Linked DNA regions of Oryzias latipes. The protein of the gene in region 2 interacts with the protein of the main gene of each other region in a pairwise test. Links are inferred from orthologs where the notes say so. Each region holds a gene or a part of one and is shown on either strand. Other genes may lie near its edges. The genes, in order: ncdn and efhc2.

Evidence for each region.
Region 1: the proteins of efhc2 (region 2) and ncdn interact in binary tests that used the Homo sapiens proteins (3 or more experiments, as listed by UniProt). The two-hybrid records come from large-scale screens. The link is inferred for Oryzias latipes from reciprocal best matches to the Homo sapiens genes EFHC2 and NCDN.

The regions. Positions count from the first base shown.
Region 1 is NC_019869.2:19,980,963-19,985,348, reverse strand, and holds the start of ncdn (neurochondrin), read right to left. Parts: upstream 3,075-4,386; 5' UTR 2,899-3,074; coding exon 2,734-2,898; intron 2,450-2,733; exon of another isoform or gene 2,361-2,449; coding exon 1,394-2,360; intron 662-1,393; coding exon 501-661; intron 401-500; coding exon 162-400; intron 79-161; coding exon 1-78. UniProt on the Homo sapiens protein: Probably involved in signal transduction in the nervous system, via increasing cell surface localization of GRM5/mGluR5 and positively regulating its signaling. Required for the spatial learning process.
Region 2 is NC_019879.2:12,523,099-12,526,879, forward strand, and holds part of efhc2 (EF-hand domain-containing family member C2), read right to left. Parts: intron 2,845-3,781; coding exon 2,650-2,844; intron 940-2,649; coding exon 847-939; intron 1-846. UniProt on the Homo sapiens protein: Microtubule inner protein (MIP) part of the dynein-decorated doublet microtubules (DMTs) in cilia axoneme, which is required for motile cilia beating.

The DNA.
Region 1 (4,386 bases), on a different chromosome or scaffold from region 2:
CTGTGAGCCTCCAGGCCGAGGAGAACCTTCCTCGGAGCGTCTTCTGCCGACAGGTGGCACAGAGCTGGGAGGAGGTACCTTTGCGGTGGATGGGGGGGGGGTGTATACGGTCAGGTGATGCTCGTGTTTGATTCTTGCAGCTTCAGAACTTTCATCTCTACCTCAGAGCCTCTCCACCCGTCCACGCCCCTCCCTCCTCAGTGACGGACGCCTTAGCCATCCAGTCAGAAAGGCTCTGCTCGGCAGCGGCGCCCTGCAGGTGGTGCCGTGCGTACCCGACCAGGAACGGCAGCAGATCTATCACTTCCTGCTTCAAACAGGAAGTCTCCTCAGCCAGCCAGGAGCACAGGGAGCGGAAGGAGGCGAAAACAAATGGGTCGCCATAACGACTGGCATCCACCTGACAAAAACAATAAAAGAGAAGGAAGATGGAGTTAGAGATGATCCACAAAGCCCAGGGGGAGGAAGTGAAGTATTGGGGGGAGGGGCTTAGACGTCACCTGCTGCAGGTAGAACATGACGGCAGAGAAGGCCTCCTCGAGAACCTGCAGGACCTGCCGGCTCTGCTGCAGGCTGAGGGCGGGGAGGGCAGGGGCGGGGCTCGGAGCATCAACGGCGCTGCAGGCCTGCTCCATAGCCGCCTCCAAGATCCTGTAGCAGCCTGCGATAAAGGACACCGGGTCACATAGGAGACTTCATCTCTGAGGTTCTGAAGAGGAACATGATGAAGTAGCCCACAAAAAACATCATGAGCCTCAACAGAACCAGAACAAACCAAGAACACTTCATAGAGGTAGAGAACTGGTGGGGAAGGAGAGGGCGGAGCTAAAACTGATAAAGAGAAGCTAAAACAGAGAACCATTGGAGAAACGAGCATAAACCAAGACAGTTTTAGGACTTTTTTCCCCCAGATTAGAAAAGTTTTCTGAATTAATATAATTTATACATGATAGAACATAAACTTTAACTTAAATTTGAGATATTTTCCATCCCATCATTTGATCTTTAGAGGCTTTGGAAAACATCAAAATGCTGAAAAATTATGTTTATTGGTGATTTCTTATAGATTATAAAAATTGATTAAACGTTTTTGTCTCTGAAGCTCAGAATCCTCAGAAGTTTATAGTTTATACAATAAATATATATATTTTATATTAAAAGTCCCACTCCCACAGCATTTTTTCATCTGCTCCTGATTGACACAATTTAAATAAAGAAATAATCAGAAATGCCAATTTGTGCATAACTTTCTTTATAGATGTCCTCCAGCATCAGAAAAATGTTAAAAAGACTAAAAACATCATTTTTATCGGAGCGGGTCTTTAAAAGATGAAATCATTTCACACCCTGAGTAAGAAAAAAAAATATGTCACAATTTTTTTTTGTACTTTACCTGTTAGCGTGTTCTGCAGCTCCGGGCTCAGCTCGTTCCCCGGTGGTTCCTCCAAACCCATCCGAACCTCCACGCAAGCCCGGTTCACCAGCAGGCAGCAGAACTTAGGCGGTCCCGCCTGGTCCCAGCCGTACAAATCCAGCAGGCAAGCGCAGAGCACCAGGATGGGCCCGATCTGTCTGGGAGTTAGCCTGGACTGCAGCATGGGTCTCAACTGCTCCCACACTGAGCTCATGGCATCCCTGAGCTCCTTGCTCTCTATCGCCATCCCTGCTGGGGGCAGGAACTGCGCCAGCTGGGCACACGAGCTGAGCCGGTTTGGTTCTGAGGCCCGGCAGAAGTCAGTGGAAAGTCTGAGCAGCAAGGCGAGGAGCTCTGCTGGGTGTTTATTCCAAACCTTCTTCTTGGTTTTTGCAGAGAGGAGGTGGCCCAGCAGGGGTAGGCCCCGCTGTCGACTCAGGATCTGGTTCTGCTCTACAGCCTGGCACAGAGCGGGGACGGCCCCCCTGCTCAGGAGCAGCTCCGGACCCTGAGGTAAGGCGCAGACGGAGGTCAGCACCTGGTAGCAGTCTGCGGCCGTGGCCTCGTCCAGCTGGAATGTTTGCTGTGACGAGGAGGATCCACTACTCCCATCTTGACCTAAACCTCCATCTGACCCCTCATCCCCTTCTGGACTCAATCCTCCAGGCTTTTGCTGAGCACCCGGCTTTGATCCGTTAGCTAAGAGATTGAGTAGTAAGGGGACGGTGGCGAGGAGCTGCGGATGAGCAGCCATGTCTGGGTCTGTGCTCAGAGCTGCTAGCAGGGTGGCTCCCAGACTCAGGGGGTCAGAGGGGGCCATGCCTGCGGGGACATCCTCCCGGGTGGCTGTGACCAGGAGGCGTGCTGGGAGGTTTAGCCCAACCGCCTCAAAGATGCGCCGCAGGCTGCGTTTGTCCAGCTGACGCGCCGGACACACGCGGGTGATCTGTGGAGGCGCAGCAAGAACCACTCTCAGGGTTCAATTTCCAAACTTTTGGGCACCTTTTACAACAAATGAGATTTTTTTCCATAGCTCTGAAAACCCAGAGACACATTATGAGCTTTTGTTTGAATGAAATCCTCTTGTTTTGCCTATTTGTTCAACAAAGTTTTTTTTTTCAATTTCAGTAAAAATCACAATCCTTTTGTAAAACAAAAACCGTATTCAGATTGGAAACAGGCTTTCACACTTGAATTATCACAGGTAATTAAACTTATAAAAGCATTTTTTTGTAATTAGAAGCTGACTGGACTTGTTGCTAGGCAACGACCACTCTCCATCTTAACCAGTAAACTCATCGTGTAGCTTGATCACTTACCAGTAGTAGGGCGGCTAACGTGTGACTATCGTTCTTCGCTTGCTTGAGCGCGTGAAGACATCTGTCTAACATCTGTCCCTGTGTGTCAGTAAGACACCCTTCTTCTCCTCCTCTCCCCTGCTCCTTTTCAGTTTCAGGAGAAGTAGACTCGTCGCTGTCAGCCATGCAGACTCGTTACGACGGAACCAAAATTCTTAATTATCTTTGTTGGAACAGGCCAACTTAGTCAACGCACTGAAGAAATAGAATCTAAAGCTTCAGAAAATGAACAACCTTAGTGGTACTCCATAAGCACGCGGGAATACAGCTCATGGGGTCCAACCAGGAAGTAAGTAGTCAAAACAAAATCCGCAACCAATGAAAACAGAAATGCAGTCCCAGCGAGCCAATCACAGCGAGGTTTGCTGGAAGGCACCAACGCCATTTTTTACGTATTGGGCGTTGTGACGTTAGAGAAACAACGCAATTTTAATTTTGAGTATTATTTTTGGTAAAAACTCGACATAATATTTTTAAACGTTCATTGTTTACTAATTTATTTCAAAGTATCAATTATATCTTATTAAATTGTTTCTTTTTTTAACTGGCAGTATACTCTTTTTTCAAATAACTTTATTAGTGTTTAAGAAACATACAGAACAATTCGACTCTACACACCTGAACATAAATATAGATAGATAGATAGATAGATAGATAGATAGATAGATAGATAGATAGATAGATAGATAGATAGATAGATAGATAGATAGATAGATAGATAGATAGATAGATAGATAGATAGATAGATAGATAGATAGATAGATAGATAGATAGATAGATAGATAGATTTTCAAAAAATTATTACAAGAAAAAGAAGAAAAAGTCAGTAATTAAATAAATAGTGCGCAAGACTTTGTTTAATGTAAACAGGATTAAAGATTTACATAAGCTAACAGTATTTATAGGCTTTGTAATTGTTGTATGTATATATTTTTGAAATTAAGATTACCCTTAACTATATACTTAGTATACTTGACGTTTCCTTTTAAAATTCTGCCTGTACATGTTAAACTTAAAATGTTCCAATTTAGTCTGAAGAAGTATTTAGTTAATATACAAATTATACTAAACGTACATGATCTACTTACAGTATATTCATAATTACTTCATAAAGTAAACTTCAGGTGTACTTGCCTTTTGCTAAAGGTAGTAGAGATTGTTTTTCGATATTCGGCAAGTTTTCTATTAAGAGGAAAAGTTTGGCTTTGTTGTCAAAAACGTTGCTGTTATTTATATGGAATTTAGCTAAAACTAATATTATGATAAAATAGAAAAAAAGTAAGACTATGAAAACCAACAACTTATTTTAAACATCTTAGCTGCATTAGTTGAAACATGTTTATGCAGTGAAATTCAACCGGAAGAAGTGTCTGTGATTTTCTTTAACTTTAATATTCTTTTTAAAACACAAACAGTAAACTTACTCCTTAAGTCTTTAAAGATCAACCAGCAGAAAAAAGGCACAAATAAAAAAAACTGAGGTGCGATTCAAGATTTTTAAACATTGTTTCATTTGATTTTTTTAAAGAGATACAAAAATAATTAATTTTAAAGAACAAAATATGAGTCCACTTAAAAAACTGCATTTGTGTATGAAGTACTTATCTATCAATA
Region 2 (3,781 bases):
ATTATTAGTATACTTATTCTATACTAAATGTGAGCCAGTACACTTGAATTTTACTTTTTATATACCATCTATTTATTATAAACTTAAAATGTTCCAATTTAATCTGAAGAAGTATTCATGAAGTATACAGTGGTCCCTTGCTATGACGCAGTTAACTTTCGTTTGTCTTACAGCGCACTGTGGTCTGCATCCTGATTGGCTTTTGACATTGCCAATCAATCTCCTTTGTGCCGTGTCTCCTGTACAGATACGTGCAGCTTTCCAAATGTACATATATCTTCTGTTGTGATCAGATATTTGTTTTCATTCTATAATACTGGATTTATTTTTCTACGAAGGTTCGGACTTTCAGAACATGTGTCGTTTTACTTCGCTGATTTCCCCTATTGCAGGTTCTTTATGGAACCCATCTCCTCCAATAAAAGAGGGAACATTGTATGTCCTGTATGCTCGCTGTACTTATACTCAAGTTTACTAAATAAAATAAACCTCAAGTGTACTAGTATTTGCCAAGAAAACCGATTCAACTTTATTCTGAGTACTGCTTTTATAATTGGTCCTCCCACGACCCCTTATAGTTTGACAGATAAAACTACTGTAGACCTGTAGATTGGAAGAGGATTATATAATGTCTGAAATACTTGATAAAAAAACAGCTGGTCAATTGTGTGTCTAGAGCATTGAAAGGAGTCCTGGTTTTATTTCAGAAAGGTGATGCAGATCGATTCATGGAGATTTGTGGCCTGAGTGTTTGCACATCACAAGCTGCTGGTGTCTTTGTCAAAAATGAACACTTAAAAACTCTCTGAAAATGTGAAAGTAGGTCAGAGCAATATGGATTCTTACTTGGTGAGCAGAGTTCCTAACAGGTTCTCGGAAACAGGGAGATGAACAGATTCACAAATGTTCCACGCCATTTTCCTGGGAATGCGGCCGTTTCTATAGACAGAAAAGGAAAGCTCATAAATCTACTCAAAATGTCAAACTGTTAATTAAATCAGATCACTTTGCAGAAGATGTTGGACAGATGCAGTCGTCAAAAACTTACAGAAGATTAGACCTGAAAGGAAAAAAGGCCAACAATAGACCACACCCAGTCCAAGACTAATTCTACCTTACAGCTTCATTTATTCATCAAGATGTGGATGAACAGAGACCATTAAACATGAGTTAAGAGGAAAAATTAGAGTGTACTTACAAATTACATGTGGATAATTTATCAAAAGTAAAAATGTATATTTAAGCAGTTGGTCTGGAGACACATTAGTGTTGATCTTTGCTGCTATTTGTGTATACTGGAAGTGTTACTCTAAAACTGTTTGTGGTCCATTATTCCTCACTCAAAATAATATTCACAGACTGATAAAACCGACTGATTGATAAAACACCTGCCAGTTGTTGCAGGCGAGCGCATTTCTTCCCAGGGTCAGGTGGGCTGGAGCTCAGAGAAGAAACAGAGAATCCCTACAGCTACATCATGGACTGAACAGACTTCAGCCAGAAGGCTGATTGTTGAGGTTCATGACCGTACAAATTTAAAAAGACAGAAAGATATTTGTTTGGAGAAGTTGAAAGGAAAACTTTTTCAAAGACGAGACCAGCTTTCAAAGTGTTTGGCCAAAAATGCTCAGTGTCTCATTAGTGGACAGCCAGGATTTCAGAACAAAAGGAGGAAAACTGAAAAATAAACTGCATGCATGCACTGCTTTTTGGTATAAATATTTAGAAGGGAGGAAGGACTCCAAAGAAACATGTCCTTCCTAAATGAGGCTTCATTGGTTGAATGTTGAGACAACCAAAACCTGCCACATGCTGCTGTATTGGCTGCTTCACTGTTGGAGATTCCTTCTTCCAGAAGTTCAGAACGTCGTACCAAAAAACCCCAGCAAAGAAGAAGGTGATTTGGGAGTGGAGGGAGGGAGGCAAAATCACATTTAGAGATTCAGCAAAATTTGAATCATAACCTTTACACCATGTTAACTGTACTTATATCAAGATTTAAAAAACACACAAGCCATTGTAAGTTCCCTACAAGAAGTCAGGATTAGTTCCCACGGTAACCAAAACAGATAGAATGGAGAGTTCCTTTAATTAACTGAAGATTCTGGTTTAGTGTCAGCAGAACTAATTGATTCCCCCTTTAGTCTCATTTTTCCAGTTGATATTTTAATGGTGGTCTCAAAGAAGGAGTGCAGAATTGTTTTTATCCTCAGTTGTTTTCCCAGAGCATTGTTGTCATGCCATCTTAATTTAAAGAACAATGTGCAGTAAATGAGGTTGTCAACAGCGCCGTTAACAGATGCGTCAGTGTGGCGCTGCGTGTTCCAGCTGTCCATGCTAGCTAAGCTGCAGACCTCCTGAAAGCACACAGAGAAAAGTAGAACAGAGAGGAACGCAGAGATGAAGGAGGGTGTGTGTGTTTACGTCCTCCAGAACAACATGCTGGTCTTCTGCGTCCATCTGGTTCCACTTTTTCCTTCATGTAAACTTGAATTAAATCCTGCTCTGAGGAACAGCGCCACTGGCCTCATGATTGATTTACAGTTGTGGAGCAATTACCCTGTTTTTGTGTTGGTGAGTGTTCTGTGGTGAAAACATTTATCCTCACACTAAAAGGCACGTGAGTGACGCTGTGTGCACATCACTTACTTGAGTGGGTCCTGTTTGTTAAAGGCTAGGGTCAGGCTTTGGAAGTCATCGTAAAGCTTTCTCCTGAGTGTGTCCTGTGCCACGGCCAACATCAAGGCCACATCATCCTCAGGCTGCTGCTGCTCGGAGAAAGTTCTACCCAGAACCAGCACCTCGTGGTCCACAAGACCACAGTCTAGATCCATCAGCATATTCCTAGGCATAGAAGCACAGAAAGAAATTTGCACAGAAAATCTGAGACAAAACTAAATTATATTCAGTTTCATTTGTATTCAGGTTGCAGATTCTTTCAGTATTTTAATCAGGGATGGGGGATATGGACAAAAAATAAAATGTCCCATTTTTTTCCAGACCAAATTCAGTGTCCAACTTCAATGTTTTTTGTCTCCTTCCTTTTACTCTTTAACAAACATGACAAATGACGGGATATATTTGACTGTTTTATTTCAGGGTCTCTTTTGGAAGTTGGTCTGAATTCAAAGTGCAATGAAATACAAGCTGTCATAGGTTTGTGAGCTGCCGCTAGCTTGAGCATCTCTCAGAGAGCTGCCCTTTATCTTCTTGACAGAAGGCTTCTGTTTCAGGTGTGGAAAAAAATTTGCAGTACTCCCTCTTTTGGTAACAACAGCCTTCACAACAACAGCCTACAGCAAGCTATTTGTAGCGTCAAGTATGAAATCGCAAAACTAAACCAGTTCCATAGAACTGGGACTTAGAACCTGAACACACCATTGTACACTATACGCTCTGTTTAAATCCTGAGATTGGTGTTCCACTTGATTTTTCTCCAATGACAAAGCTATTCTTGGTTGTTTTCCATGCTAACCGCAGGCTTCCTCGTTCAACAAAACACAGGCGGTTAGTGTCTTTGCTCTCACGACTTTGAAGTCAAGATATTAGAATTACCTATTAGGTTTTTTTTTTTTTTTTTTTTGTGAGTAAACAGATTTATATTAAAAGGATTAAAGCGCTCATTGTGGTAAATGTGGTAAAGCTTTTCTTATATGAGCAGGGTCATCTGACATTAGTCAGTTCAGTTGTTTAGAAACCTGAATGAAATTTGGCTTTTGGTTAAGCACCTTAAGCACATTTTTATTATTTTTTAGTTCCTGTATTGGCAGGTCTGTTTAGA